Linked DNA regions of Daphnia pulex. The protein of the gene in region 3 purifies or fractionates together with the protein of the main gene of each other region. This does not show direct contact. Links are inferred from orthologs where the notes say so. Each region holds a gene or a part of one and is shown on either strand. Other genes may lie near its edges.

Region 1 (5,647 bases), on a different chromosome or scaffold from region 3:
GGGATTGTGGGGAGAATCATTAGCCGAAGGTTGTAATTTTTTGAAAGTACATTTATTTTAAGCATGCAAAATACGATAAGCACCCAGTTTTTTAAGCACCCATTTTTATTGTAAGCACCTTGTCACTTTTAATCATTCTTCGCCTTGTGAATTTTCAGCCACTTAACGCCGCTGTGTACAGCGAGAGAGCGGGGGCCGAATTAGAAAAGTCCATTGCTGCTCTCGTTACATATTTCCTATGGATTTTTCACGTTGCAGTCCTGGATGCATTATATACGCTTCGACTTCCCCGAAAATTGTCTAGCCAACACAACCCCCGCATCCAGCACAGCAAGAAATACATACATAAATGTATAGTAGCCTACGTCTTTTTATTCTTTATTTTCTACCCTCCTCCTCCTCCTCACTCCATCCGCATCGGAGCTTGCGGAAAAGTCAATCGGATGATTTGGTTTGTTGTTGTTTGCTTTTGTCATCATTGCCTGGGAAGAGATCCAACTCCGGGCCTCTTCTTATTATTGGCTCTACCCAACGTATAGATATAGTCATTTATATACCATATTTTGTATCCACATCGAAATATCACCAGCCGGACATGCCAATCCGCCAGGATGAAACGGTCAAAAATCGAAAAAAAAAAAATCAAAAATTCGGCTACCCCCTGAAAGTTTTCCGTTAATATCTCCAAAAATATGTTAGCTAGACGATTGCGACTTTCACAAATGGACGTAGAAATTTATATCAATAATACCCGATCAACTTTATGACAGTATTTCCCCCTAAACCTTTTGCCAGTAGCCAAGAAGTCTACTGCCCCGCCTCTGTCCCTCGGCTCCCAGACTACAATAAGCAATAATAACTAATAACTAATAAGGCAATTACCAATTTGAAGGATGCATTATATTTTATTGATCAGATTACAACCAGAAAAAAGAAAGTGGTACTATACTAATTTTCTACGTAATTCATCCATTTTTTGTTCAATTTTTGATATCAAATCTTCATCTTCTTTATTATTCTGAAGATTAAACGGTCCGTCGAAATATTCAGGACTAATGCTTTCCAAATGAAGGATTCTATCTTCAAGGGCTTTCAAGCGTCCGTACACATCCAGTGGAATAGGTTGTTCTCTTGAATTAAAACCCAAGTGTTTTTCCATATTTTGTAGCCGTTCTTGGATAGCAGGAGTCGGATTCAATTTGGTGTTTACTGAAGATGGAGCCGGAACTTCAGAGTGTGTTTGTGGTCCCCACATATTTACGCATCTCGACACTAAAACGTAAAGAAATCAGTAATCAGCGTTGAATCCTTAAAATAAAATAATTTTACCCTTTAGATGACTTTTACTATCTTTTCTGCTTACAAGCACTGCCTCTGTGCGAGCACATGAATTCTCTAATTCGTTTAATGGTAGTCTGTGACAGAACTCCTGAACGTTGAATACGTCCGACTCTGATCGTTTCCGTTCCATAAACGCAGTAATTCGTTTTCCCAACTGAAAAATTAAAAACATTTAAAATATTTATTGAGAAAAGACTTGATAAAAGTAAAACGGATCAACAATACCTCTAAATTTGAAGCCTTGATCTGAACGCAATCGGCAGCTGCATAGTCCACCATTATTTTCCTCTTTTTAGATAGACTAGCGTCTTCTTCTTGATCTATATCAATTCAAAACATGCTATTGACTATTAAGCATCTATCACATCAAGCAAATATTCCAACAACTCATTCTCATGGAAATAAAAAATTTCAAATCCCGAATTTCCCCACCTAACAAGATTAGAATATTTTCGTACTTATTTTTTTTAATTTTGACTAATAAAAACTTCTGAACGCTTGTGCTTTCTTTAAGCCATACTTCTATAAGCCAAATAATCAAATGACGTACGCGGCAGTGAAGGGAACAAATGCAGAAGTCACAACTAAATACTAAATAAAGGACGTCTATGTGTGGTTGTCCCTATTCCGTCAGATAATTAGCTTAAAGCTTATAGGCAGCAAAGCTGTCGAACCACACGAAAACGTCTAATAGATTGAAGCAGTGCGTAGAATGCAGCATTGCAGCTACTCATCTTTAGAATCACACAGTATATGTTATTATATAATGAAAGGGCAAAGATTGGAAAGCGTTGGGAACTGGAAAGTACTTGGATAATAAGTAAAATGAATGTTAACATTGCTTAGTTAAAAAATAAAAAGAGAATTAAAAACCCTTAAAAACCTTATATTTTAAATGTCAGACTTGACAGCACTACGTAGATATTATCACTTTAGTAAGATTGAAACTACAGCCAAACTAACGTTCATGCTCCGATTTTTAACTAATGAAAAGTACTGGAAACCATTTCAAATATTGTTCTGATATCGGAAAATCGATTAAGGTTCAATATTTGTGTTACTTGTTAAGAATCAGTACTGTTATGAATTCAAAATTCATACAACAAATAGGAACAACTAAGCATTATTTGTTTAATTTTTACTTGTCCACAGGCATTCTTTGTTGGCTTTCCATTCAGGAGCACCATCACTATAAAGTTCTTTCTTCCAAATTGGTACAGACTTCTTAAGCGCGTCAATCCCAAATTGAACAGCCTCTAAAGATTCGGCTCGATGCTCGGATGAAACAGCTATTACAACACTTGCTTCACCAACCGGAACTTCTCCCAATCTGGAAAGAAAAATAGGTAATTAAAACAAACAAACAAACAAAAAAATGTTTCTTAAGTTTCCTCATTATAACTACAGTATGGTAAAAAAAAAAATTATACCTATGGTGGAATGCAATGTGTTTAACCTTCCATTTTTCTCTAATATTCTCACAAATTTTCTTGATTTCTTTACATGCCATTGGCTTGAAAGCTTCATACTCTAGACTAATCACCTTAAATATAAAGCAAATTTGATTTAGAAATATTTGACTTTAGATTATTCAAATTGACATTACTTTCTTTCCTTCAAAATTATTCCTTGTTGTTCCCACAAATAATGACACAGCTCCAGTAGAATGTTCAACCACTTTAGAGTAGATTGAATTCACATCAAGCTGTTCTTCAACTAAGTTAATAATATCCATTTTAAAATACAATTGAAGGGCTCTGGCGAATTAAGCTGTAGCACACTGCTTATGAAGAATCCTAGCGACCTAGCCACCACTTAATGGTGGGATCACTGCAATTTCCTTGCAATTTTTAATGTCTATAAGCTGATCAAATTCAACATATTCTTCATCAGCAGCTAGGACAATGTTCTTTGATATGGATTCTAGAGCTGGAAATTGTTCTGTAATGATGCACAAAAGATTTGCCCCAGTGATTCTTGAAGTTGTTCTGGAAAGTGAAATATTGTCAAAATCTTTTCCAACTAACTCTCTGGCCTTTGCAAAGAACAGAATCCGAATAACTACTTCATCCATTGATCAAGGTCAAGACTACAGCATCCCTGACTATAATTTTAACCAGATTTGTTGACATGTAACAATCAATAAAAAAATATATGTTAATTAGTTGTCACCGCAAAAGTAAATTTAACTTTGAGTAGTAATCTTGATTAGCAATACGCTCTTCTTATGCGTTGACTATGTGTCTGTAAAACTGTGACAGAGGCTCGGCAATCAGAAAAGCGTCTGGTCACTGGTCGTCTGCTGGCACTGGCAAGTGGGAAGTGGCAATGACATAAAGAGACTAAAGCGTATTTTTTAAAAATTCAAAAATTGTAATATGCGCGGAGTTTTTCTTGCGCGCAAAATATATACATTAATTTTATGCCCCCTTATCTGCAAGAAGCCAACAACGATGCAAATATTCTATGCAACTTTATGTGTATTGTGTATAGATGTTATACCCTTGAAAAAGTAGTGGTCTAGCAAAAAATCGTGCGCAGTTTACGCCGATGCGCACCACAGCGGCAGATAGCAGAACTAAACTTTTTATTACGCTTGACTACCTGTCTACTTCAAGAAACGAGACGAGAACCGACTGCTTGTCGAACAAAGGACTTGAAGTAGACAGGTAGTCAAGCGTAAAAAAAAGTTTAGTTCTGCTATCTGCCGCTGTGGTGCGCATCGGCGTAAACTGCGCACGATTTTTTTCTAGACTACTACTTTTTCAAGGGTATAACATCTATATCGTATCAGAGCGATCGTATTCGTTCACCGATTCTTTCATAATCAACAATTTCATAATATTCAAATTTCAAACTATGTGCATACCGGCATACTATTGTCAGGGGTATGGAGAGATTTATGGAGATATCTTTCTCTCCATACCCCTGCTATTGTTATTTAAAAATCCGACAAGTTTTTCTATCAGACACCAAATAAAATGACAGGCGCATTCTTATGCTACTGGAGTCACTCCTCTATGCGACTGTTAAGTGTTTACTTTCTCACCATCACTCCTTGTGTCACTACTAACACGGGAATTTTCGTGATTTTAATAATTAACAGTAACTATGAGGCGGGTGCGGTAGTTGAATAAGGAAAAATCTAAATATATAGTTCCTAGACTACAAACAATCCAAAAGTTTATTTGTTTCGAATTACTCAATTTCAAATTTCATTCGACATTTGAAAAACTCGGTAAACGTTATTGACAATGTTTTCAAATCACAGTGGTTTTTCCTAGTCAATGTCAAATAACACATAGCATTTCCGCATAACACAAACATTATTTACAAAACAAGGTTCGTGAACAAATTTCGGGGTTCACATTCAAACCAAAATACCGTTTCATATTACAACGATGAGCCTAATGGACTCGAAAAAAAAACACTGCGGCGTTTGGGAATTTCAATCAGCAACTCCCTGGGTTTTAAGCTTAGTATCATTAACGACGATAGAATCCCCGATGTTGACACTAACCAATGATGCAATTTCGACCGCCGATTCGGCGATTGGGACGTATTTATCGTCTATTTTCAAGAGAAGGATGACGCGATCCACGTGCGATCTTTGTCGCGAATCTGGATGATTAGGCACCCAACGATGTACCACCTAATCAAACACAAAGTACAGTAAAAGGAAAACTATTCACCCATCGCGTATAGTTTTCTTACCTGTCCTTCCATACCCACTTCGGGAAGCCATGATTTCCAATAAGATTTTCCACCTTGGTTACGAATTGTTGGACTTGGCCAGAGAACATCAATTCGTCGGCCCAGATTAATGGTATCGTAGACTTGATTGGGATCGACAATCTGAGTAGAGAAAAAATAAGTAAATTAATTTACAAATATACAATTTAGAAGAGCTTTAAAAAGTACCTTGACTCGTTGGTCGACAGAAATCCTGTTGTCCATAAACGGCTCCGTTTCGTACAGAGGTCGGTCAGTGTCGACAGTTTCAAGTCTGTCGAAACGGTCGCGTCTAGAACGATCTCGTCTGCGACTCCTTTCTCTTGCACCACGTCTTTCTTCTTCGCCACCTCTACCGGAAGAATTTCTCTGTCGAGCTGTAGCGCTACTACTAGATTCTGGTGCTGTACGACGTAAACGAACATCACGTTCCTGAGACTCGGAACCACGACTGGGACGTCTTTCACGGACGGATGGAGCACTTCCATTTAACGTCCCACTTCCCATGGGCGTCGAAGTGGTCGTCGCGGCGGCGGCAGCGGCTGTGACTGAATCCCTTTCGGCCAGCATTCCT
Region 2 (4,951 bases), on a different chromosome or scaffold from region 3:
GCGGCTGCGGGAGAATCGGCAGTCTGAAACAGTCGATCGAACCAAGCTAGTTTCAGTTCACAATTTGGCCAAACATCGGGTTTTAAAGCCATCTTCAGAAGAGCCACACATCGTTTAGATAACTGCTCGCCCGAACTGTTGGCGGTCGAGGTTGCATCGTTCACCTGATAAGAGATTGAAAAAACATTTTAGCACGTATACTAACTCAAAAACATACACACAAAGCATACCTGACACGCCAGTCTTAATAAAAAGTTTGCTATGGCATCACAGTGAGTTTTCTCAATCGGTTTACTGACTTCCAGCATTTTCCCTGAAGAAGAAGATGAGGCAAGTCGTGGCTTCTTTGCTTCTGGAAGTCCGTCATTTCCTGATCGTTTTACGGATCCAGATGGCATGGTCTCATCGCAGGACTCACCTCCTGAATCAGCTTCATCCTTCATACGCTGAAGCTCCCACTTGAGGACAACTTCGGCCAATTCGACGGCTAACTTCTTGTGCTCTAGCGTGGCCGTTGGAGTAAATCCCAGGCGCTGAATCGAGGTTATCATGTACTGCACCAGATGATGTCGAACTGGATAATACACTTTGTAATGACGCACCAGCAACTGGAGAATGTGCACCAGTTGAGCAATTGTGTGACCCTCTTCAACAATGATTTTCTTCGTCCAGTGGGTAAGCATGGTGTTTCCGTCCTCCATGCGAAGAGGCATAGCTGGCGTTAGAATCTCCAGTGCTTGTCGGACAACATTGCGAGCTTCAACAGCGTGGGCCTTCAACAAACTGTGGAAAACTTGCAGCACAATTCGTTTGTGAATGGCGAACTTTGCAATGATGTGACTCAACAGCAAATGGCCATGGTAACGGGTGGTTGGATCAACACAGTTCTTGCTCAACAGACACGGCCATGCAAAAGTCATAAGGCGACGTAGTTTGTTTCCCTGGCGTTTATTGGCGGCGTCGTGAATATGTTGCGAAGCTTGTTCAACCAACAAACAGCTCAGCTGAAGCAACAGGATTCGAACAGCGTCCGAAGTTCCAAAAGGATTGTCTGGATCAATCACTTTATTGATGAAAACACTGACAACGCTTTCACTGTTATCTTGGTCGGGGGTCGGTGGCGTACCAATGAGAATTTCTCCTTCTCCTCGCTCGAAACTGACGGCAAATCCTGGAATTATGATGTGTTGGAGAATTTTGGCTTTAAGTTCTTGTCCCAAGTTGGGATTTCGGAAAAGCTCGACAAACTTGAAAAAAGACGCTCGCTTCCAGTCAGCTCCATATGATTGGCCGACTGTTTTTTCCAAAAATTCTTTCAAAAAGTAGAAATCGGGAATCGTGCGATCGCACAACGCGCGCATCAAATGGAAGAGTAATTCAACTTCTTCAGGGTGCTGCTGAAAGTAATACAGTAAAATTTTGGCCAGTTGACGTTGCTCCTTTCGCTCAGCGATCGAAAGGCTCGTAGTTTTCTTTTCCTCGTAGCGACCCGAACACCAAGCTTTAGTCAGCACGGTTATTAAATCGGGCTGTTCAGATATCCACTGGTCGTCCTTGCAGATCATGATGCGCAAGATTCGAACCGTCACTTGCAGTGCATGAGGTTTGGGTGTTGTAGACTCCGAAGGCAGACCGCCAAGCACAAAATTAACCAATCGATTTGTGTTGGCCTTAATAGCGTCACGAAACGGTTTGCCTTCACTGTGGCGAACAAAATGTTCAAGGAACCGATTCCAATCAGCATCGGCAATGATATCTTCCCGTAAAAGTAAATCAATTGTTTCGGTAGGATATCGCAGAAGAAACTTGATTAAGGGCTCTCGGAAAGGACTGCCCGGTTCTAATCCTAAGGCACGTTCTGTTTGCAGCACTAATTTGCACAGGATTTCCAGGAATCTTGCCGAAGCAGCTGGAATCTGATGAAAAAGTCCAATGATGCCAATTGCAACCTTCACTTCATTGCTGCACAAGCTGCTGCTGCTGAAAGGTCCGTGGCTAGTCTGGGTAGCAACTGGACGATTTCCTCCGGTTTTAAACGCCACGATCACTACTTCGAGCCACTTGCGTAAATGCTGAAGAAGTTGTTCACAAAGCTTTTCGTTGAATACGTGGGGGAAAAGTTGAGTCGTGTGAGACAAGCGCAATATGACATTGGTAGACAAACTGCGATAATCGCCCAGCAAGAGTAACAACGGACGAACGGCGGTATGTACAGTCTCCATTTCGATCTGAGTGCCCACCAGTATCTTCTTCATACAGGAGAATGCCGTTTCTTGAAGTTCAGCATTGTTACAACTCAAAGCTTTGAAGATAACATTCAAGATCTTGTCTCGGCACTGAGTGATGTAGTGGCAAGCGGCTAACGCTTGCAAAGCGGATTTTCTCAATGGGGTCAAGTTGCTCACGGACTTGTAGCAAGGTAATTTCAGAAGAACAGTGTCGTCCACCTCGCACAGCGATAGTAGTTCGTGGAAGAAAACCTTATGCTCGACAATATTAAGATCAATGGTGAACAGTCGGGGTTTCAGCGTCGTGCAGAAGGTGTTACCGTCCATTAACCCAATTTGGGCGTTGACTGGCTGGTGTCTCAGTAAATGCTTTTTAGGCGGAATCATGTCAGCCAACACTTCCTTGTGTGGTTCCATGATGGCCGTTGGTGTTTGGTTTGTTATCCGTGCCAAAACCTGCAATAGGTGCATGGCTTGCTCACGTACAGTTGAATTTGGACTGGTCACTTGTCGTACGAGTTCATGGGTCACGTCATGCAGACTTTTCTTTTGCGCAGACAAAATTTCCGGAGAAGGAGACGATTCTGGCAGCGGAGTAGCGCATAAAAGAAGCATTTTCTCCAAATTGGCTTTGGCCATGTCAATAGCGCCGCTCGACACTTCTCCAGTGAGATCCATCATGACGAACAAGAGGGCCTTTAGGAATACATACTGATGTTCGAGAACCCACTTGAATGCCATTCGTTCAAACAGGAACTTGATGGCAATGCAACCGCCCAATTTTGCATACCAAGCTCTGTCGTAGCAAAGGCTGCACATTCGTTCTGCCAGATATTCCATTAGAGGAAGTTTACAAGCTCTCTCTTGGGAACCGAGCACAATAGATGCAGTGTCAAGCATCAACACTAGCGCCAAGTGTCCAGGTTTGCAAAGTTCTTTTTCTTCGTGGCCCATAATCGTAGCCAATGCATCAACCAACACGAGTGGATCCATGCCTAAAATCCGTTGGGCAGAGCGACCAGGAACAAGCATAGGAAACGGCCCCGCCTGCTGGACGACGGCAACAAGAGTGTAGTGTCGGACTAGAGATACCATAGTGGGCAGAACTGCTTGCCTCAACTCCTTTATGGCTGCTGCGACGAACATGGCAGTAACCGCCGTTTGATGTACATGTCTTGCTTGCTTGTCACTGCACTGGAACGAAGGACTTTGCACAGGATGAATATCTCCTTCCAAGAACGAATGATGAGATAATAAACGCTGCATTGTGAGACGATCGTCATCCAGGTGAAGTGAAGATAGCAGAAAGCAACGAACTACTTCCCAGCATTGCGTTCGGTAAAATGGCTCGGTACTACTTGATTTCAAAGCAGAAAACGCTGTCTCCATAATCTTCTCGACGGGCAGGGAAACGGGCTGTTTCAATTCTTGGAAGTGGATAACGATGCAAGGACCAGACTCTTTGTCCCAATAGTCTAGTCGTTGCGGTTCAACCATCATTTTACGATTACCACCTCCAAACTTACCAAGGACTCTAAAGGCAACGTGTGCGATCTGGTCGTTTGGATTCCTCAAAGTACGCCATAATGCTTGCATCAACTCAGCTCTTACTGGCTGAATATGCTCGTAAAGAAAATCTGGTTGAAGATTGTCGACACAGAGTTCTAAGGTTCTTAAACCTTGGCTCACCAAAGTCTGTGAACCATTCAGCGAAGACACAAGAGGATCCTATAAAAAAATTGGAAACAATAAATAACAAATTTAGAAAAGAAAGAATAATAATAAAAAAAAAACTCATAATTTTATTACCATAAGCATCGGGAGGTAAGGAAGGAGTGAAGATAACCGCACGGGAACAGTCAGGCAAAGTTCCACGAAGAGATCCTTCATATGCTGCTTGTGAAGTCCACTTTGAAGACTGTTTAGACTTTGAAGAAGATTCGGAAGCAATGGCAAAAATTCTTGATAAAGGAGGTCATGACTACCTCCGCCGATGGATCGAAAAAGTGCCCGCAGCAGGAGGAAATAGTTGTAGGGCTCTTTAGCACTCAAAGCTAATTCCATAGATTTGTTGACAATGTGCGGTAGATGTGGCTTTAACATTTGTTCATTCTCCGCAGCAAACAAAGAAACGCTACCAAACACAAGTTTGAACAACTTCAAATAAAGATTAGAACGCTCCATGTTCAATCCCATTTCTTCCATGTGATTCAGCAAATATTCGACGAGGATGGTGGCGAAAACAGCGGAGGTGGAAGGGTTTGCAAGAAATGAATTTGCAACTACCTGCAAAGCGCTATTGCGGTAAATGCGCTCTACCACGTAGTCAATTGTTGTGGCAAATACTTCCTTGAAAGTCTGCGGATTCATCATGGCGAAAACACCAGCAAAATGTTCCAATACTTCTTTTTCTTCTTTAGAGCGAATAGTTTGTGCTGGAACAGTCGGCCGAGCAGCGGAAGCCCCACCGACCGGAAAGCCAACGACGGTGCTATTAAGACTGCCAGAGGTCTCCGCTCCGACCGCACTCGGAATATTTAAGGCGTACACATCAAGTGCTTTCATCGCCCACTGCACCAAACGGATGAATATCACCGTTTCTTTAGGTTGCAAATTCTTGCCTGTAGTAGCAACACTAGTCGTAGTATCGAGTGGAGTTTTGCAGGCCGCACATCCCCAGGTGATGGTTTTCACACCGCACACAAGCGTTTTAACTAAGCTTC
Region 3 (5,453 bases):
TAATTCAATTCTTGAAATGAAAACTAAGCCAAACAGGTGATGCAATGAAAATTTTTCTCAGCTTGTTTCTCATATTGCTTGATATTTATTTTATTTGTCGTCGATTGAGTGCATGTAATATAAATACTTGTGTCAACATTTAACTTCTTATTCGAACGTCAGCTTCATTTATCCCAAAGCCCAGCATCTTTCATTTTCGCTATATAGTATTTTTCGAGTGCGTTGGCGCACTTGCAATATTCCGTGTCAGCCTCATTATAGTGGCGACAATTGGAAAACATGCGTGAAATGTCCGCCATGAAGAGCTTCCGATGGATGTAGTAACGATTTTTTAATCGATCCCCCATGGTCTTCAAATCTACAATGAAACTAAATTAACATCGGAACGTTAATCAATTGAACACAATTGTAAACTTACCCATCGGAAATTTGATGTGGTCGTAATAATCTGGTACTTCCGCTCGATCAACAGGTTTCAAGAAGGGCCAGGAAGAGGCATGACTTCTCACCTATATAGAAAAATGGAATAACATGTTTTCTTCTTTTCATAAAAATTAAAGCAACCAAACCTGATTGAGAACCGAACGTAAAGCTTGATATAATTGCTCTGCATCAAAAGTCTCTTCGATTAGACGCTTAGATCCGTAGCCATTGGATGGTCGCCAGCCCGTCAATTTCAGTCCGGGAATACTGTCAATAGGAATCTCTCGAACACCATCTTTAAAGCAATTGAGACCTGGATGAACTTGGCTAATTTCTTGCTGCTTCATTTCAATTAGATGTTTGACAATCTAAAAATTAAAAAAAAAAAAAACAATTAAGAAAGGAACAATAATGTTGGATATTAAATCTGGGTAAGACCTCTTTCTGCTTTCGAATGATTGCGGTAAACTCTGTGTAAATAATACGGGGATTTAACTCGCATCCCATTAGAGTTGCTCCTTCGTAGTCCTTGATGTAACCGTTATAAACGGACTTTGGAAGCTTTATTTCTTTACTAAACCCTTGTTTCTTGAAATAACCTGCACATCACACTGCATTAGGAAAATTATTTGAAAATAAAAAATTTTGTTTGCTCACCAATGGCGTATTCGTCGGCAAAGGTAAGAAAGTGAAGTACATTGTGTTTGATATGGTAATCCTTAATGTGATTCATCAAGTGAGTTCCGTACCCTTTAACCTGCTCTGAGGAGGTAACGGCACAGAATACGATCTCGGTGAAACCTTGGATGGGGAACATTCGAAAACAGATACCACCGATTGGTCGACCATCTTTGATCAACGCCAAAGTCCGATGCTTGCTACACGTAAATTGGATAACATTTGTAACTTTGGTGATTTAAAGTATAAGAGACAAAATTTAGGACTCACCAATCGAAAACCAACCGTGTGATGTATTCTTTCGGCATTCGTGGTAATTGATGCGAAAAAACATTTTGTAACCCAACCAACCATGACATGGTTTGTTTGGATACGGTCTGAGTAAGAGAATTTCCCACTACGTGAAAGGATATCAAACCACGACGTTCTTCCTGTTTTGCCGCTTCGTCTCTTGGTGCATTTTCTGGGAAGACGCTCTGGAAAACCAAAATAAAGCTCTGTTTAGAAGAGCTTAATTCTTTACACGTAAGAAATTTGTTGGCTTACTTCGGGACCAAGCATCTTTTTGGGGTCATTAATTACGGCAAGAATTGTGGCGACAGTTTCTTCAGATATGTCATGATCCAAACGTACCCTTTTCGCATCACCTTCCACACTAGGTTCGCTGTCAACTTGCCGCTTTAACAAGTTCCTAATTAAAATTGAAAATTATTTCCATGTAGACATAGGGTGGACATGAAGTTTCGACATTACTTTTCTACATCTTTGGAAATTGATCTGACAATCCCGCTGTTTGTCAAACGATGGAAGGTTGCTTCGTTGCTGGACTGGGTTACATTTTCCTCTAATATCAAGAATTATCAAGAATTAGATTAAACATTAATAAGTTGGAAAGCAATGAAATAAATACCTTTGATGTTCTCCTGTTGATTTGGGAGTCGATGAACATACGACGGATCCCACACAGGCGATGCATCATTTCCTAGTTCCATTTCCATGTCTGCCAAGAACTTCGGAAAATTATTTATGATCATATCCCGTCGTTCGGGTGGCAGTCGGTCTTTCTCGGCTAAGAAACGATCCATGAGCTGTCGCTGCACGGTGGAATAGACCAGTCGAAGAAAGGACCGACCAAAAATAGCACTAGTTTCATATTGCGGTAGGGAGTCGCAATAGCTCGGAACATTGCAATAGCATAACCACCTGCCAGAGTGTAATATTTTTAAGTTAAAAATAAAATTTCAAAAGCTAATTTAAACTGAAAATAGGTTTACCTCGTGTAACTAATTCGATACACGGAGAGGTCAGCTTGTGGATAATGTTGTTTCCACTGAGTAGGGGTTTCCAATTTCCAGTGATTTAAACAGTGGATAAACATTTTGGCAAGATCACACATTTTTTGAAACTCCTATGAACACAATAAATTTAATTTAATGTTTTAAAGGATAACTTTGATTTCTTACCTTGGGGATTTGTTGACTGTATTTGAACATGACAAAATTAGTAACACCCTTGCTAATACTTAGTTTTTCAAAGGGTGGAGAGCCTAAAGGCCCTTCTACAACTGGTTTTGTCATCTGCATTATACATTTCCTCAAGAGCTATATTCCAAAAAAATAAGAAAATTTAAGAAAACATTTTTATAATACTTGTTTCACTAAAATGATTTCAAATGTTATTACTTTAAAAAGGCAAAAGTAGACTTGTTTGTTGTCTGGATCTTCTTCCTTGTTAACACAGACAAATAAATTTTCTATGTCCACTACCAGACTTAAAAGTTGGTTTAGTTCTTCATTACTGGAATTTATCAAGTGAGATACATGATCTGAAAGGTTATGTGAACAACTGCGGCATGGATCAGTTAAATTTGCTGATGGAAGAACCACATTTATTCCTGTATTGTTGACATTTGGTGGTGTAGTAGGATTTTTCCATCCATTGCATTTGCAATTTTCATCAAACTGAAAAAATAATTATGGAGAAATGTCTCAGTTAAGTGGTTCTTCATTATAAAAATAAAAATAATCTTAAGAAATAAAGCATGTTCATTATAGAACATTGAAAATGAAAACCCACCTTGCAACTTGAATAAACAGCTAGCTTTTCCAATTTCTTAGGATGTGGCCATTCACGAACCTGCTGCTTCCGCAGTTGAATTTTTTGAATGTTGTTCATACGATTCGTACCAACGCCAGCAGCTGAGTTGTTATTTGCCGCAACTGGGTTAGAAGTGTCAGTCATATTGGAAATGTTTTTATTCTTGAAATTCACGGGAAACCAAAATCTGATATCCTTTCTTGTAGTTGTACATCACTTTTAGTGAACGTCATAAATATACTAACTGAACTCAGAAGTACGCAATTAGGGGAATTACGGGGATTTCTAGCAGAAATCCAGGCGCGTCGCGAAAATTTTTGTTTACCCCCGGTGGCGCAAGATTGCCACATTTACCTTTATCCTTATGTTTTTGGGAACGGAAAAACGAAACATAAAAATTAATTTTATGAAGAAAAGATTTTTTAAAATTTAAACTTGACATAAGACAGCAAGTGAGAAACTAAAAAACTGTCGAAAAAAACAAGTGAAGAAAATCGCCTTTTAAAATACGATTTGAAAAAATCCGACACTGATGTTTGACTCCAACTTCACTTAACAACAAGTCAACAACATAAGAAATTATGAATTTACGTCTGAAGATTTAAAAAATTTACCCTGTTTACGAAATCTGTTTCTTGAAGGACTAAACTTCAGGTGTACTTTCCTGTGTAATTGTATGGGGGAATAACCTGGATGTAAATATGGATCACGAAGAAGTAAGCAAATCTATTAGCAGACCATGAATCGCACATAATTTTCGTTTTTACTTACAGCGGCTGAAAGCGTCATTGCATTTTACCGTGGGTAAAATGTGTGAAGAACAGGAAGCTAGAACTCACATTAGTTTTGACAAGCATGTGATAGCAACAATAAATGAAATTGTCTGGCAAAAGATCAAGCTGGTTACACAAGATTTGGAAGCTTTTGCCAAGTATTAATTTTCTTGATCGCTTATGTTAAAATAAGATGTATGCATTGTTATTTACATTTGTTTATTGAGGCATGGAAAGCGCACAACAATCAATGGAGATGATGTGAAGCTGCTGGTTCGAAGGAATGAAGATTTAGTAAGTATTCAAGTAAAAACATTGTGAGAAGCCAATTGAGTCCATTGAAAAATTATTACAGAAAGCCATAGTAGAAACACTAGGATCAACCAACTCAGAGGATAATGCAAAAATAGACAAGGGGAAAGCATTGGTGAAGAAGAAGAAAATCGAGACTGTTCCACCAGAAGTGACTCTGGACACAGATGATGATGACATGTTCACATGACTATGATCTAAGCTGTATTGTTCTACATCAGGGAAGACAGTCGTTTTGTGCGTTTGGGAGGATTATGTGGTATGCGGAACATCAAAAATAATTAAAATAAACGACGCTTCTAAATCGCCGCAAATAGAAACACCGAATACATATTAAGAGGCGTAGAAATTCCAACCGATTATTATTTTTTTTATGGCTACCAAATAAATGGTCGAATGTCGTTTAATTGTGTCCTGTCGTCAGGCACTCGTCATTTAATACAGAGTTACATAGCGGAAATATATTTTTTTAAAAGTCACCGACACATTTTCCTTGTTTAGTTTCCCTTCCATTTGTCTTCTAAAACGTGAAATATTTTCTTTAAAGCTCGGTCGAAGTGGTGGAAGTCAACGCATTGACTCTTATGGCATTGCAGGATTTACACAGGACACGCCCATCCAACGGGTAACAACCGCGCCCTTCAGCTTCCGACGATAGAACTAAATCGCAGTCCTAATATCCCAAAAAACCATGTTAGGATGTTGACAATTAGAAAAGTAAATATATGCCAAGTTACCTCGCATTTGTAACATTGTACGTGAAAGCTCCGATCCAGAGCGACAACACGAACAGTTTCTTCCTGTCCAGGCTCTGGCATGATGGGATCGTGACAAACAGAGCAGCGCGGAGCGAATTTCCTAAAACCAAATATTATAGTATTTTTAACGAAGGTTCGTCAAGAAACAAGAAATAACAATCGTACTTGTGGAAATCGTCAATGCAGTGAATCCGGTTGGCGGCATCAACCGTGAAAGGAATGCCGTCCAAACAGAGTAGACAAACAATGCAGGTGAAACACTGGGGATGGTAAGGTTTTCCTGTGGCACGTAAGATGCGGTCGAGGATCGGCTCGGAGCAAACACAGCATTTCTCTAGGCTATTCTATTTGTCCGTCAGAAAAGGGAGTCAAGGGTTAGAAACTGACACCATTTCAAATCTGTTTTTTTTCT
Region 4 (5,536 bases), on a different chromosome or scaffold from region 3:
TCGTAACCCAAACGACGGCCTGTGATGCAAGGACTTGCCGGTAACAACAAAGAGAGTCCACGTGCCCAAAAAGGGCTAGAGGGGCCTGGTATGAAATGATCTTGGGTTTCCGTGTTGACTTGGATTTCAGAGCTCTCTTTTAGCTTCATGATGCGGGCTCAGTCAACTAACGATGATGCATGTAAAAGGAAGCAGTTGAAATAGGGGGGTGAAGATATGCCTACCAGAGAGAAAGAGAAGGGAGCGGTCGTCCTGGAGACCAGCTCTGCTGGCGTGACCTCCCGCCTGCCTAACTGAATGACACAGCCAAGGGATTCCAGTAGATTTTGAATGCGATCGATTCCTTTCCCCCACTGCACCCCAAGCGCCAATCCGAGAACCTCGGACTGTAAGAACGACTGGAGATGCTCTCGTTTGTGTGGCGTCTACGAGAGGCCGAAGCACAACAATAATAACAACCATCAACACAGAGAGGGGAGAAAAACACGGGACAATGTCTGTTTTCATAGGAGGAACAGTTTCTTTAGAGCCCTATCGTGTGACTCCTCCTCGAATCTGGAAGAGATGGATTCATCGGGTGGAAGAGAAAGGCGACGGAGATCAGGGATGGGAATGGATCAAGAAAGTATGTGTGTTTGGACGCTGCGCACAAGTCCAAGTGCCGTCGTCGGATTCAACCCCCACTCCTCCTTCCCTTCCTCTTTTTCCTCCCTCCTGACGTGATCAATACCTGAGCTACAGATTCCCCCATGCCCTATTTCAACCCCGCCAACGCATGTACAGCTGTGCAACCCCCCACCCATTTGCAATCGTCGCAAAAAGAAACAATTCACTTCCAAATGAACTCACTATCAAATTTTACCACCTGATATCTGCCTCTCATACGAATGCTACTGTTTGGATAAATTAGGGTCAGACTGCTGCATGTCACACAAGATTACTCAAGGTTTACTAGGCAGGATGGTATAAAAAAACCTGTGCTAATTATGAAACGAAGAGAGGAATTTTGAGAACATGCTTTGATTATGAAGGTGTCATGTTTCACCATCCAGAACTTTTATGATTGTGCAACACAGCGGTCTCCTTACCTTGAAATGAACGGATAGCTGCAGTACACACAAAGCAGTAGGAGCGAACTGGAAAATTGTGTCTAAAATGTCACTGAAAAATGGCTGTTTCAAGGAAACTCAGGATTCTTCAATAATTATTGAAAACGAAGGATGTCCCCACACGCACTCGACCCCCCTTTGGGTTCTTCAAAGCAAGTGACACAGATGGTGTAGCCCACACATATCACAATATGAAGAAAAACAAGGTTTCCACAGCTATTTGTAGAAAAAATAAATTGCACTTCACGAAGTTCGGTCTGGAATTCCTCTCTGATAGGCCGCAGATTCAAACTTTAATTTCAAACAGACAATAAACTGTCATGAAACGTAGATAATGTTAGTGTCACAAAAACTCGTTGCCTTTTCACTCGGTAGCCATATTGGAATAAACTGAAAACACCAGAGAAAAGAAGACTGGAGACCCGCAGACGAGGGAATTTTACAGCCCTGAAACTAGCGCTGTTTCAGACATAACGGCCACATAATAATATAGTGAAACACCAACTAAATTAAATAAATACATTGGCCTATGGAATTTGTAGTTAAATGAAATCGATAAAATATCATACAAATTTATATTAAGCATTCTGCATTCATTAAAGAAATACATGAAAATTTGAAAAATTTGAAAATCAAGTCTAAAACTTTGAGTTGCAATTTCCCTGATTTTATTATTTCGAAAACTGCGTTCAAATATTTTTAACAAGTAATTTAAAAAAATATATTAGACTTTGATTGTCTTTTCTCTTTCGACTTAAACGGTTTAAGTTATCCAAAGTTTTCATTAAACCATTCAAGGAGGCGCTGCTATCGTTTGACGAATACCCAGTCTCATTTTCTCTCTTACGTTGTAAATCGAAATATCGAATCGAAAGTTTGAAAGTTAGGTATCGATTCTAGTCCAAGCTTTTTTGACAAGTAAACAACGTAAATCGTACATTCGTACGTGAATTGTCTTGTCAAATTTAAAATTTGGGCCGAAAAATGGTTCCGGGTAAAGGTAATATCTCCAAAGGAAAAGGAGCTACAAATGTCAAAGGTTCAACGTCAGCCACTAAAGTCAAAAGGGAAAGAGTTTCAGAACCTGAGGACTCAGATGAAGAAGTTACTCTAGCTGATGTCCGAGCTGTCGACTATGGAAAGGTTTTACCTCGTTTCACATCCAGTAAGAACTAATTTTTTTTGTTTTTCTGTTGGTTTTCTAATTAACAAAGATATAAATATAATCAATTGTTTATAGTTACGGCTAGATCAGAAGAAGGGGGTGTTATGATGGATGATTTGGACACCTTACAAATGGAACTAGAAACACTACTCAATTGTGTTGTTTTGCGTTCCTTAAATTTACAGAGAGAAATTGCAGGAATGACTGAAAAGGTATTCATCAAAGTTTTTTTTTCATCTTGTGTCTATTTTCTGTTTGCCAACAACACTATGTGTTTTTTTTTAGCCTCCATCTCCTGGAAAACGATCAAAACAAGAAGAGCGTTCACCTAAAAAGTTCAAAGATCAACCAGGAAAGCTTAGAGATGCACACACACCTCCACTTTTAAAGCAGATGAAAATTAAATCTGCTCTAGCTGTACCTAGTTTCATGAAAAGTAGTTTTATTTACAGTCAAGTAATGATCTCTTTGATTTTATAGAAGCCTATCCCACCAGAAGGAGTTGTTGAGGAAATGCCTCCTTTAGAATTAATGAAGACATCAACTGCCAAAAATGATACACCAAACAAATTTTGGGCTTCTGTAGAACCATACTGTGCTCTTTTTACAGATGATGATTTAAAGGTAAAATGATTTGTATAAGATTAACATAACTTGGAATTAAATTTTTTTTCTTGTGGTAATTGATGTTTTAACTAAAGCTAGTAGAAGAACTAATCTCAACTCATAATGAGGATGAAGAATACCTCAAAATTCCTCCTCTCGGTCGCCACTATACACTTCGGTGGGCAGAAGATGATTTACTTCAGGAGCAAAGAGAGGGCTCTCGTTTCGGCGAGAAAAAGAAGATTACCTCTGGATCTTCTGTAGGAACGGAAGAGGCTCAAAGATTAATGGACACAGCAGCTAAAAACAAGTAAAAAATTAATATTTTTTTTTCTAATAGCCGCATATTGCTTAACGATAGATTTAATAACTCAGTGCTGAAACAAATACTACATCTGCGACGGGGATGTGCGGACCCATGACCCAGCGTCTCATTTCAGCTCTTTTAGAAGAAAATATTGTAACTTCTGTGCAGGACACAATGGAATCAGAAGGGCAAGGTATATTGTTCATTGTTTTCCTGTTTAAAACTAATGCCAACTAGCGGTTCGAAATTACTGTAACAGACGAAAACGCGAAATCTACTGGCACGAAGGCAGCAATGAATGGACCTCAAGCTGCTGCACTTGAACGTCGTATTCGTCAAGAGTTAGAAGAACAAGGCATTTTAACTTCCGAAGAAGCCAACGTTAATTCGGTAATTTATTCATTCAAAACACATTTCAGAGGTAGTATTATTAACCCCCTGATTAAGGCCGATGATGAAATATTGACGGAGTTACGTCGATGCCAAGGAGAATTGAGGGCCATATCACTGCACAACTTGAAACAACTGAAACGACTGTACCGCCTCAGTCAAGAAGAAATGAAACGTCAGGAAATACGGAAAAAATTGATTGCAGCGGACGCTGAGGTATTCATTTTTCAAGTGTCATCTCTGCTTATCGAGCTCGTCTACATTATTCCCAACTTCTTTTGAATAGGTATTAGACGTATATCGTAAAATGGCTGCCGCTAAACAAAAAAAACGCCCGTTAAGCAAAAAAGAAAAAGATCAGATGTGGAAAATACTTCGTGATCGTGAAGCGATTGTCAAACAGCTGGACACGGGAACGACTAGTATGTAAATATTTTTTCAAACAATACAAGACGTGTGTGATGAAGATGAACTAAGATGGTTAATTGAACTTTGCATAACAATATAAACTTTTAACAAGCCTTGTTTATTACTTAAATCAATTAGCATGTATTCAACAATGAAAAGTTGAGGTTACTTGAAGTTGATAAGAATTTAATAAGAATTCTTTCAACTTCTCCAAAACTGAGGATTCAATTCTAGTTTTCTAATAAAGTTAGTGTACCAGTTTCTTAAAACAGACATTGGGATGAAACTTTCTGATGGATTTGGTGTCATTTGTGATTGAGTAACAGCAAAACTTGCTGCATAATTGAAAAGATTTTGAAGAGTACGTTCAGCAAACTCCTGGAATGTTGTGGTGCTACTAGGCTCTGTAATGGCACTAGGAGATTGATTGGAAATGAGGCTAAGAGGCTCAATTGAAATCCCTATTTGAGCATGATGATGTATTTCCCCCTGGTGCACCCCAAACATACTAGGGCTATAACTTCCCGGATTCTTCTTCAAGCCAGTGATTTTGTAAATGCTTGACGGTTTGTTATTGGTGAGGTTACCTAGTAGTTGCCACACTGGTGGGGCTGATAGATCTGGCTCGGGCCACCTGAAGTACACTATTAAAAAAATTATTTTGTGGTATTTTAAAATCTATCTTCCGGAGTATGCAAAAATTTTTCCTTTAACATAGAATTGTACTCTAACCAACCTGATCCACCAAATCCCTCTGGGAATGGTGATGCGCCAGTCAAAAATACTACCAAATGGTTGATATTATCGGCATCAGGAATAGTAATAACAAATTGTGAGTCTGTAATTTGTTGAAAGTTGGTCTGGACCTGTAAAAATGTATTGACAATAGCAAATCAAGACACCTACTGTAGTTGTGGAAACGTATTTACACGCGAACACAAACACTGAAACTTACCAAACGCCCCGATACAATAAGACCAAACATTTCTCAAGAAAACCACAAATTCTGATCAGTCGAAGTAACAATTGAAAATTGAATGCAATTCTGTATGTTTCAGAAACGCGAATACAACGATTTATCCTTCATTCCAAATTCTAGATGTTTTCGAAAATTCGTCGTCTCACAGACATGTCTAGTGACATCTATGTACAAGAGATGCAAATAGGTGTTTGAAATAAAAAAAACTTGCCGCGCTAAAATCGTTTTAATGTGTTTAATGTGCGTGTTACATAAATAAATCAGTAAGTTTGTGTTAGCTATGAATAAATACTATATAAAATAAGTCACTGCTAATCTGAAAATTTATAAGTACGACGTTAGTGACGCGAATAGAAACGCAAATTGAAGCATTTAGTTCCTGATTTCATCGGAATGAAAAATAAGATCCGCATAACTCATTCGTCTATTCGATGGTTGATCATTAATTACGAATTTTTTTATTTTCAACAATTTAATTTTGAATTTTTTACTGTTACTTACGATCCCATTAATACATAATTAGCTCCAAATATGTCTTTCCGATATATATATTGACGTGATCTCTCGGTTAA
Region 5 (4,984 bases), on a different chromosome or scaffold from region 3:
CCTTTCGAATACGAATGCATTTTTCAAAATTCGTCTTGGTAGATCAATTGAATGTTTGACAACATTGTCTCTGAGATCAGCTGTTTAGTCGAAGCAGACACTTGGCTCGGCTCGATTTTCGAATAACAATGGAAAAATCAACGAAAAACAATGTTGATTTCAAAGCAGTATTCAAAGAAACCCTCAACTCTATGACTCTGATTGTAAATAGGTTTATTTTTTGCTGAAAATGAAATATAAGTGAATACCTATTTAATTTCTTTTTGCAGCCTTTGATGATCAGTGGAGGTCGGTCTAACGTGACTACGAGATGCAACAGCAATATCACCCTTACTGATATGAGAGCACAATATGCAAGCAGAGTTCTGAGCAATATCTTTGCCTACAAAGATCAGAATACTGAAATCATTCTTACAAGTATTAAAAACTCTGATAACAAGTCCTTGAGTTCAACCATCACTTGTGTTGTGGGACCAGTTATCAACCCTTCTACCAAAAAAAAGGATGTGACGACATCATTTGAAGAATATATGAGGTAAAAAACTGTAATTTCAATTTACTCTAAAATGCCTTAATATACTAACTATGTAGGTGTTTTTTGTGTTTGAAGGCTACGACAGTTGCATGTTAAATCCAGGCATCCAACGGAAGGTAAAAGTATGTCTGAAGCATGGATCACAGAGGCTGTTATCAGTTATGATTTCTTGCACAATGACACCACAAAACCAATGCATGCGGTAGGACTAGCTGGACTAGAAATTGATCCTCAATTCAGAGGTATTCAGTTTACCAAAATCATGGTTCCTTTTTAATAACTAATTATTGAATTTTTCATTTCTATTTTAGAAGCAATAAAGGTTTTGTACAACAGAAGTAGGGTTGCCTGTATACTTCAAAAATTTTCTGATGGAGTGGATTGCTCACTTTACCCTCCACTGCCAAGTTTGGATACGACCAATTTTAAGTTGCTGAAGCATAAAGCAGAAATTGAAATCACCTCCAAATATATTGCTGGATTTGTTCCTATGCTGAACAAATTTTCACTCACTCGCATCGCAAAGATAACTTCAGAGTTATGGCGATTTTTGCTATTTTTATCGCAGGATTATTCCCATTACTACAGTTCAGTTCGCACCCTATGTGTGAGTATTCTTTATTCAGGTTTCTTGCATACAATTTTACATTAAAGTTTCCTATTTTTAGGATGAACACAACCGATCGCATCCAACAATGCACGCACGAATTTGGATGTTGAAAGTGATATTAACAATTTACGACGCAGCTTTCGCCATATTGAATTTGAAGCCCTTGCAGTACGTTTAAATTACAGTGCCAGAAGTCGATGTCCAGGAGGAGGAACACCATTTCTTCGGAATGGAGAAAAAATTGAGTTGTGTGTATTGTTGAACCGTCTGATGGCCTCAGAGACTTCCGCTGTTTGAAGAGGTTTCATCGAATTTGACCATGTCGGCTAAAAATACGGAAATTTTGTTTTAAAGAATGATTATAATTATTGTAACATTCATTTTAATCCTTTTACCTTGAACAAATCAGCATTCGCTGGAGATACTCTTGGTGCAGTGTTACGTTGAACTGCGTCACTCACTTGCCCAGCCATATTGTCTCTTCGTACTATGAAGGCCAGATCTACTATTTGTGCGATGGTTTCGTAAGCAAAGTAACTGAGAATAGACCAAGCTGTCGCACTTAAAGCAACCTCAGGAGCTGGAGAATCTTTAAGTAACCAATCTTGAAATTTACCAGAAGGCTGGCCTCTCTTAAATGAGGTAGATTTGGCCTGACAAAAACAATTCTGTTAAATCTAGATTTTGAAAAAGCAGTTAGGTTGAATCAAAATACTTGAGAATATTCAATGTACTGCCCCTTCTCCATGGCTAATGTCATTCTCTCAATCCTTTCATTTCGTTCCTTGAGGGCATCATCAGGTAACAGGAAAGGTTTAGATGGATCTGCCACATTACACAGATAACATGATGGATCAAGGTGTTGTAGGAATGCAAGAGCAGAATTCAGTTTTTTATTTCCAGTGTGAAGATCAGAAAATTCAGTCATTATGTCTTTAGGCAAATCATCTTCTTTTGCCAAATCCTTAAACCCACTGGCTTGTAAATAGGTGCAAAATCTTCTCAGTTTAACTGGACTGTGCCTAATTTAACAGAAATCACTTCAATATATTGAATAACTTGAGATATTGTTAAACTGAAGGTTACCTACCTAAGTAAGACTAGAAATTCTTTGATACCAATTTTCTTTGAGTTAATTTTAACAGCAACCTCAGACAGTGCATTCAGGAACTGAATTAGTTGTTCCTTCACAATTTTCTCTACTAATTCAGCAGTTTCTTTCAGCGAATATTTGCTGTCGCCAAATCCATACATCATTTTTTGGATTTCTAAACATGTCGAATTAAATGTAGTTAGGAAATGTTGACATTGTTGGTCGTTAATATGAACTTACCCAAGATGTACCATCCATCGGTGGAAGAATTAGTGGATACATCAGCAGCTGGCATTTTTAGGAGATTGAGAATTTTGCTAATTTTTACAAAATATCAGTTGTGTTGGTATAATTCGTGTACCAAATAGTAATATCAACCGGTGTTTTCTAAAACTCCATTTGTTATTGTTTGAAGTCTGAACTGAACCCTAAAAGAAGGTATTGTGTGGTAGTCTGCTAGCCTAGCTAGACATATTTGAATTTGCCTCAATGCCAAAGCTAATTTTGAAACTATTTCAATTTTTTTCCCAAAATTTAGTAAGGAAAAAAAAATCTTTATTTTTTATGAACTTTTGAATGAACCACGCTTTCATTAATCTTAAACATTTTTCAATTAAGAAAAAAAAAAACCAAGCGGATGCCTTCGGTACTTCGTCGACACATAGCAGACGAAAATGTCGAAAAAATCAAGGACCTTCAATTTGTAAACAAAGTGTGACAATCGAGATAGAGTCATGGCTCTTTCTCAACTTAAATCATTAGACACAAATTATCTGACAGGGGTTCGAGAAAAGCTCAACCTATTGTTAGATAAGAAAAATGCAAATCCGGAAGAAATAACAAATTTCTTGGATAATCTGAACACCCTTTTCTTCGATCTTAAAAGGAAAGAATTGGAATCGTCGTCAGTCAATGTTCAAGTAAGATTCCATAAAAGTTATATTCATTTCACTGTTTAAAATCTTATGTTTATAGGATTCTGTAATTTTAGTATCAGATGTTTTAAAAATTGTGAAACATGAAGAATCTTTTAAAGTTGCCAAGACTTGTCAAATATGGGAACAAGTTTTACAACTTCCAAATGTACACTTAACAAGTCAAGCATCAGAGCAATTAATTGATTGGATTATAAAATCCCTTAAGAATGAAAATCATTTAATATTTACTGACATTTTCAATTGTCTTGCTGTGGCAGTCAACTTCAAAGAAGTTAAACAAACTAAAGTAGGTCTGAAACTGGGAATGAATGAAAAATTTTGAACAATAATGTTTCCCATTGAAATTACTAAATTAGGCTTTGGAGAAAGTGCTTAGTCCTTCTGGATTCTTGATCAATAAATTGAATGAAGAACAACAAATCAATAATCAAACAGTTCTCATTCTGAAAATTCTCTGCAATTTTACCAACTGTTCGGGAGAAAAGGATTGGTCTACAATATCAAAGGATGTAATTAACACATGTATCATCCAGTTCATAAAATTCCAAGAGCAACACCTAAATTCCGATCCAAACAATCTTAACCTTCTCAAGGTAAAACAGTGTTTCTTATAATGTCATGAAGAAATTTCTTAACCACATTCATTTATTTTACTAGGTTCTTAGTCTTTGTTTCTATGGATTAGAGAATACATTTGTTAGATTTACTGCTTCAACAGTGGCTCATTTGGAAAGTATCTTTAGTAAGGCTGCACATTTCGGAGACCTGCTTATTTGGATATGATATATATTCTTTATCTAAGGTCTAGCACGATACTACATGCTTTTTGGAATCGCTGGTCAGCCACTAAAGTACGCTCCAATTCGTCCATCATCCCTTCCATTTGTGGAACTTTCTTCCAAGTCAGATCAGACGAAGAATCCGAAGGTGAGAAAGAAACGTCCTCCCAGCAAAGTTCAATCCAAGAATCGAGATAGCAACATCGAGGAAGTTGACATTGAAGTCCATTTCCAAACGAAAAATAAACCGTGGACAAAGAACAACATTCCTGTCAGCAGCTCAGACTCGGAACTATCTGATTCTGATGTGCAGTCTCATCAAAGACTGAAAGAAGCCCAGGCAAAAGTCCGCTCCAACGCTTTGAAAATGTTGTCGGCTGCCTTTAAATTTTGTGAACAACGATCCGTAATGGGTTACTGGTCTTCATTTTTGCCTGATTCGTCTCAAGGACAAGTTTACCGCCACTCACTCGTCACCCCGATATTGAAGGATTCTTCAATCAAAGTGCGGTGCAGCGCTGTGGTTGCTCTGTCTTCGCTTTTACAAGCGATCCAGCCGACCCTAGCCATGGCAGCGTATCAAGAGAATAGAACAGGGGCTTTTATTCCCTTGAGCCAAACACTTGCAGAAACTGTCATTGCAGTACAGCGTTCACTGATTCTCTCCGTGAGTGCCGAACAATCAGCCAGTGCTCTTATCCAGATTTTCAAATGCCTTGCAGTCGCAGCTACTGTATTTCCTTACGAAAAGCTGCCAATAGAATTGGTTTCTAAAACTGTTCAGCAATGCACCCCTTTCTTAGAAAACAAAGGTATACATTTTTTTACTTCCGACTATATAACCTTAATCAATAATAATTTTTTTAATTAATCAGATCCAGATGTTAAAGTAGCTTGCTTGTCAGTTCTTCGGATATTACTTTGCGCCCGTTCTACGAATTCGAGCATCGTTCAAATGTTTCATGATGAAAAAACAGGTAAGAAATTATTTTCTGTCGGCAATATCTCACTCCGTCAATAATCAATCAT
Region 6 (4,260 bases), on a different chromosome or scaffold from region 3:
CCCAGCTTGAACAAGACATATCCAGTCAGAAAACAATGTTGAATAAAACCCTATTCAATGTGGTGCAAATGGAGTAAGCCTAAGCATTATTATCGAACACAATTTTGTTGGTATTAAAAGATTTTTATGGTTAATTTTTAGGGATGAAGTAAAAAATCGTCAGATTGACCAAATTTTGCAGCATCGGCAAAAAGACCAAGCTGCTCTAGTCATGTCGTTATTAGAAGAAGAATCTTGGCAGTACCAAGCGTTTTCGTCATTGTTATCCCAGCGTGATCGGCGGACCACCCAGCTTAGCGAAGATATTCGAGCCGTAGTAGATAAACTTAATCAGCTTACCGCTTGGGAATTACAGCGCAAAAGCAGGCAAATCGATATTACTAACGTGAGTGCAAAGTCTGAAATACGTATGACTTTAATTTGGTCATTTATTAATTCCTTTTTTTTTTCTTATCGATCCTAGAACTTGCTCTCGGAAAATCGTATACAACTGGCTGACTTGCTTTCCCAGTTAATAGAGCAACAGCAGCTGCGTCGTAAAGATCTAAAACACCTCTTGGAAGAAATGGAAGTCCAGCGACAGAACCAAGCGGCCGACTATTGGCTTGTCCAGTATCAGCGTCTAATCGATAACATGCCTGATAATATTCAACATGCACAACAGTATCTTCCAAGTGCGCCTTCCTCTGTACTCGATGATGAGGAGGTGGCATCCGCTCCTCCGATGGAAGTTTTTATGGAAACTAATTGCGTCATATGCTTGGACAGTTCAGTAAGCTTACATTTATTACAGTTCAATTTTTCAAAACGAATTCATTCTAATTGCATTTATATTAAACAGTGCCAAGTTATATTCCTTTCTTGTGGACACTTATGTTGTTGTTCTGGATGTGGCAACAAGCTAAATCAATGCCCAATGTGCCGGGCAACCATCGTTAAACGACTGCAGGTTCACTCATAATGTTATTTATTTGCTTTTTAGCTTTTCATCGGTCATATCTTTGTGCCTTTGGCATCCTAAAAAAAATGTTTTCTTCATTTTTATCTTGTCTGTTGCTACTGTCGTTTCGAGACGTAAATCACACTTTAATTTTCACAGTATACAAACTATTTGAGGTCGTGTTTTTTTTTCTTTTATTAATTTTTTTGTCGTGCGAATACAAATTTTATCACACATTTTTTTGTCATTTAAGATCATTCATCCACTTCTTCATCCTCATTCTCCTTTTCATTTTCATTATCATTTTCATTGTCATTTTCATTATCATTTCCATTATCATTTTCTCCACCTTCATCTGATCCTTCTTCAATATCTTCCGGTTTTTTGTCGGATTTTTCCTGTTTCCGTTTAGCCATAGCTTCTTTGCGTTCCTTCTGTGCTTTCTTGTACACTGTAAAAGAAAAGAACATGTTGACATTCTAAAAATTGTTTTGAAAAAGAGAAATTACCTTCAAGAGAAGCCTGTAGTGGTTCAATAAATCTTTCAAATTCCATGTCAGCCATTGCTCCCAGGACATCCGGGCCACTGATGATCTTTATTTAACAAAAAAATTTTAGTAAATAATTGAGAGAATGGAACAAAATTTTCTGATTCTGTGATTCACCTTTCTGTTAGCTTTCATAGCCAGATTGTTAGAGCATGATGTGCAATAGAGAACAAATACAGAAGCAGCTTTAGCAATGGCGGTTCTAGCCTCTTTAGACACATTAACACCTTCTGGCAAGGATTCTTTTATGATTCTTGCTACTATTGAGTTGGGAAGGTTTAAGTCTTCAGGTCGTTCTGCCATTGCTTACGTACCTGGGAAAATCAAAACAAAATTCCTGTCATCAGCTAGATACATTAGTTGAACAAAACATATATTTCATCATATGAATTCTATTCAAATCAATAAAGAGAGAAAATGTCACTTATTATTTCAAATAATAACACCATTTAGTCATTTCCAAGAGATTTCTAGAAACTTTTTAAAAAATTAACTACACTTGTTACAAGATTTTCATAGGAAAAAGAAAACATCCTACCTGTCAAAACTTCTCCTACAATAATTTATTTCCGATTATACCGAAACCAACACTCCGACACTTGAAAACTTCAGATTTTTGCTGAAACAAATACACAGTCACAGTTGATGATTTCGATGTTGCTTCTGCTACAATAAAGGGCGGGAAAATAAGAAGTGCCAAGACCACATCGCCATCTGTGAGTAATATTCTAACCGTTTGCACAAATAAGTTTTTCGCCCCCGTTAGACCAGCAGTCGCGAGTCGCATAATAAAGAGGCGTATGATAAAGATAAATAATAATTTTTTTTATGTAGCACGAAGAAGATAAGCAGATCTTAATATATGAACAGACAAGATATAGGTTAAATATCAAACTAGTGAAATATCAATTTTATTACACCAATATTTAGTATTTACAGTACATTGTTGCTTCAGCAGCTTAGATTGGTTATTCTAACTTGAACCGATTTTGTTTTACTAGTATTATTTATTGTATCTTGAACAACACTTGGATGTTAAAACAAATCGACATGAAAATTTTAACAATCGTGATCACTTCTGTTCTTATTAGATTCAATAACGATTTTGACGGAATGGATGGAGATCACCAAATATGACGTACGCAAAAGACGGCAAAAGATCGTTAGACTTGTCGTTAGATAGTGTCAAGAGCGGCATGTGTAATAGGATAACAAACTTTCCTCCTTTTCGCCAAGCCACTCTACATCTCCGAGTCAAAGGGACCCAAACTTCCTTTAGCAGCCAAAAGTTAGATTTCCATCGATGCTAATCTTACAAGGGAATGACTGTTGTGTGTACCTGAAAACTTTTGAATGGATAATCGCTTGCTATACACCCGTATATAGCCTATAGGGAATAATAGATTGCCAAACGCCGAAATTACGAGAAGTTAGATTATTGATTTGCGACTCTAACTTTCACTTATAAAATTCGTTTCTCGGAAACCTCCTACCATCCCCAGTCGCCTACAAATCAGGTCATGGAATTCAAGACAAGTTTGATCCAAAGATATATTTTCAAATCCTACACAAAGTGTGAGAGTCGGGAATCAGAGAAAAGGCAGGATATGCCCCGGGATACTACTCATCCACTCCGACTCCAGGCAACGGATACAAAACTGATATACGCTGTGTCGCTGTCTACCATTGGCCCCTTCAGACCTACATCCGCCCACATCGGAAACTGTAAATCAGACGTGGATGGAAAAACAAAAAGTTGAAGAAATAAGTCTGACGCTCTTTTGAATGAGACGGATAAATGAACAAGTTTTGCTTACTCCCAAGTTTCTCTATAAATAAATAACAACAATTTAAGAAACAAATCTCTACTAAAATAATGGTTCATCTTTTTTTTTAAATAGACTAGGTAATCAAACTGTCTTTAATCATCGTTAATTTCATATATAATTTTTCCGATCTCAAAATTTTTCAAAGACATCAATCGCATCATTTTTTATCCTGTATATTTTTATCCGCGTGGGCGTACACCAGCAATCATCCCATCAGGATTTAACACGGGAGTTTTGTTTTTTGTTTTTTAATTTCTCATCCTTGACACGCGTGACAGACTTTCTTGTCAAAAAGTTTGACATGCGCTTTCCCGTTAACACATTTTGTTAGAGATCGGCCGTGTGAACTGTCTGTGAGCACTTGGCGACGAATAAGATAATCAATTGCTTCGCGCCTTGTTAGTTTATTTCCCCCGCATGTTTTTCGCTTTCATGTTTTATTTTCGAAAAGTGGAATGGATGGGATCCGGATCCCGCAGGAATTAGCAATAAGAGCGGGTGATTACGTCTGCAATACAAACCAAGCGAAAAGTCGAAATTGGTCGAAATTGGTTGTGTGCTGTATACGCGTATATATATTTAGCCATGCCTTGTTTGTAGACGCTAGACGGGATCTATAACGACGCGGAGTTATCGGGAGTTATGATTTCGATCTGCTTACTTATTATGTAAGTATCTCTTTCAGCTGCTGCTGCTGCGCGGTCCTCGAAAGGTATATGGAGCTCTTGCTCTCCCGTCACCACACCCCACTACATACATCCTCCCTCTCTCTGTCTGCCGCCCATATATCCTTTCACGTCTGGTATAGTAGTATGGTACATGCTCTCTCGCTCTGCTGGTTCATGAGAGCTGCTGTTGGTGTGCCTCGGATGCTGTGTGCACGCGATATCCAGCTAGCTACAGCACACAGCCAGCAAAGAGGAGCAGCCAGTGAGTGCCTTTA

Evidence for each region.
Region 1: the proteins of histone acetyltransferase KAT2A-like (region 3) and molybdopterin synthase catalytic subunit-like purify together in Drosophila melanogaster (affinity purification with mass spectrometry; 3 studies listed by BioGRID, with this or other methods). This does not show direct contact. The link is inferred for Daphnia pulex from reciprocal best matches to the Drosophila melanogaster genes Gcn5 and Mocs2B.
Region 2: the proteins of histone acetyltransferase KAT2A-like (region 3) and transformation/transcription domain-associated protein-like purify together in Drosophila melanogaster (affinity purification with western blotting; 4 studies listed by BioGRID). This does not show direct contact. The link is inferred for Daphnia pulex from reciprocal best matches to the Drosophila melanogaster genes Gcn5 and Nipped-A.
Region 4: the proteins of histone acetyltransferase KAT2A-like (region 3) and transcriptional adapter 3-B-like purify together in Drosophila melanogaster (affinity purification with western blotting; 3 studies listed by BioGRID, with this or other methods). This does not show direct contact. The link is inferred for Daphnia pulex from reciprocal best matches to the Drosophila melanogaster genes Gcn5 and Ada3.
Region 5: the proteins of histone acetyltransferase KAT2A-like (region 3) and transcription initiation protein SPT3 homolog purify together in Drosophila melanogaster (affinity purification with western blotting; 3 studies listed by BioGRID, with this or other methods). This does not show direct contact. The link is inferred for Daphnia pulex from reciprocal best matches to the Drosophila melanogaster genes Gcn5 and Spt3.
Region 6: the proteins of histone acetyltransferase KAT2A-like (region 3) and DNA polymerase epsilon subunit 3-like purify together in Drosophila melanogaster (affinity purification with mass spectrometry; 3 studies listed by BioGRID). This does not show direct contact. The link is inferred for Daphnia pulex from reciprocal best matches to the Drosophila melanogaster genes Gcn5 and Chrac-14.

The regions. Positions count from the first base shown.
Region 1 is NC_060026.1:10,880,560-10,886,206, forward strand, and holds molybdopterin synthase catalytic subunit-like, read right to left. Parts: upstream 3,803-5,647; 5' UTR 3,077-3,802; coding exon 2,948-3,076; intron 2,885-2,947; coding exon 2,772-2,884; intron 2,672-2,771; coding exon 2,484-2,671; intron 1,662-2,483; coding exon 1,567-1,661; intron 1,496-1,566; coding exon 1,330-1,495; intron 1,273-1,329; coding exon 944-1,272; 3' UTR 879-943; downstream 1-878. Other genes in the region: pecanex-like protein 1, read right to left, coding at 4,790-4,993, 5,056-5,196, 5,263-5,647. UniProt on the Drosophila melanogaster protein: Catalytic subunit of the molybdopterin synthase complex, a complex that catalyzes the conversion of precursor Z into molybdopterin.
Region 2 is NC_060018.1:6,522,696-6,527,646, forward strand, and holds part of transformation/transcription domain-associated protein-like, read right to left. Parts: coding exon 4,038-4,951; intron 3,957-4,037; coding exon 231-3,956; intron 165-230; coding exon 1-164. UniProt on the Drosophila melanogaster protein: Part of the Tip60 chromatin-remodeling complex which is involved in DNA repair. Upon induction of DNA double-strand breaks, this complex acetylates phosphorylated H2AV in nucleosomes and exchanges it with unmodified H2AV.
Region 3 is NC_060028.1:7,764,145-7,769,597, forward strand, and holds histone acetyltransferase KAT2A-like, read right to left. Parts: upstream 3,531-5,453; 5' UTR 3,343-3,530; coding exon 3,178-3,342; intron 3,063-3,177; coding exon 2,784-3,062; intron 2,703-2,783; coding exon 2,565-2,702; intron 2,510-2,564; coding exon 2,376-2,509; intron 2,305-2,375; coding exon 2,012-2,304; intron 1,946-2,011; coding exon 1,855-1,945; intron 1,793-1,854; coding exon 1,648-1,792; intron 1,578-1,647; coding exon 1,372-1,577; intron 1,302-1,371; coding exon 1,081-1,301; intron 1,023-1,080; coding exon 862-1,022; intron 792-861; coding exon 570-791; intron 510-569; coding exon 419-509; intron 359-418; coding exon 165-358; 3' UTR 75-164; downstream 1-74. Other genes in the region: Golgi pH regulator-like, read left to right, coding at 1-3; centromere protein S-like, read left to right, coding at 3,900-3,914, 3,972-4,129, 4,199-4,265, 4,327-4,473; thyroid receptor-interacting protein 6-like, read right to left, coding at 4,825-4,956, 5,021-5,141, 5,207-5,385.
Region 4 is NC_060019.1:11,486,592-11,492,127, reverse strand, and holds transcriptional adapter 3-B-like, read left to right. Parts: upstream 1-1,941; 5' UTR 1,942-2,093; coding exon 2,094-2,274; intron 2,275-2,349; coding exon 2,350-2,486; intron 2,487-2,559; coding exon 2,560-2,691; intron 2,692-2,754; coding exon 2,755-2,898; intron 2,899-2,975; coding exon 2,976-3,190; intron 3,191-3,255; coding exon 3,256-3,380; intron 3,381-3,446; coding exon 3,447-3,577; intron 3,578-3,634; coding exon 3,635-3,793; intron 3,794-3,863; coding exon 3,864-4,007; 3' UTR 4,008-4,097; downstream 4,098-5,536. Other genes in the region: protein OPI10 homolog, read right to left, coding at 4,187-4,629, 4,722-4,851, 4,941-4,970.
Region 5 is NC_060027.1:749,721-754,704, forward strand, and holds transcription initiation protein SPT3 homolog, read right to left. Parts: upstream 2,698-4,984; 5' UTR 2,534-2,697; coding exon 2,479-2,533; intron 2,414-2,478; coding exon 2,236-2,413; intron 2,168-2,235; coding exon 1,861-2,167; intron 1,799-1,860; coding exon 1,541-1,798; intron 1,502-1,540; exon of another isoform or gene 1,472-1,501; coding exon 1,325-1,471; 3' UTR 1,324-1,324; coding exon of another isoform or gene 1,204-1,323; 3' UTR 1,143-1,203; downstream 1-1,142. Other genes in the region: DALR anticodon-binding domain-containing protein 3-like, read left to right, coding at 129-203, 270-535, 611-777, 847-1,142, 1,204-1,323; HEAT repeat-containing protein 6-like, read left to right, coding at 2,973-3,158, 3,214-3,462, 3,533-3,769, 3,834-3,918, 3,979-4,767, 4,831-4,932. UniProt on the Drosophila melanogaster protein: Component of the transcription regulatory complex SAGA, a multiprotein complex that activates transcription by remodeling chromatin and mediating histone acetylation and deubiquitination. The SAGA complex predominantly acetylates histone H3.
Region 6 is NC_060025.1:6,579,146-6,583,405, forward strand, and holds DNA polymerase epsilon subunit 3-like, read right to left. Parts: upstream 2,175-4,260; 5' UTR 2,027-2,174; intron 1,826-2,026; exon of another isoform or gene 1,803-1,825; 5' UTR 1,792-1,802; coding exon 1,606-1,791; intron 1,535-1,605; coding exon 1,450-1,534; intron 1,392-1,449; coding exon 1,195-1,391; 3' UTR 1,118-1,194; downstream 1-1,117. Other genes in the region: E3 ubiquitin-protein ligase LRSAM1-like, read left to right, coding at 1-73, 142-385, 464-772, 842-961. UniProt on the Drosophila melanogaster protein: Accessory component of the DNA polymerase epsilon complex. Participates in DNA repair and in chromosomal DNA replication. Histone-like protein which promotes nucleosome sliding of ATP-dependent nucleosome remodeling complexes.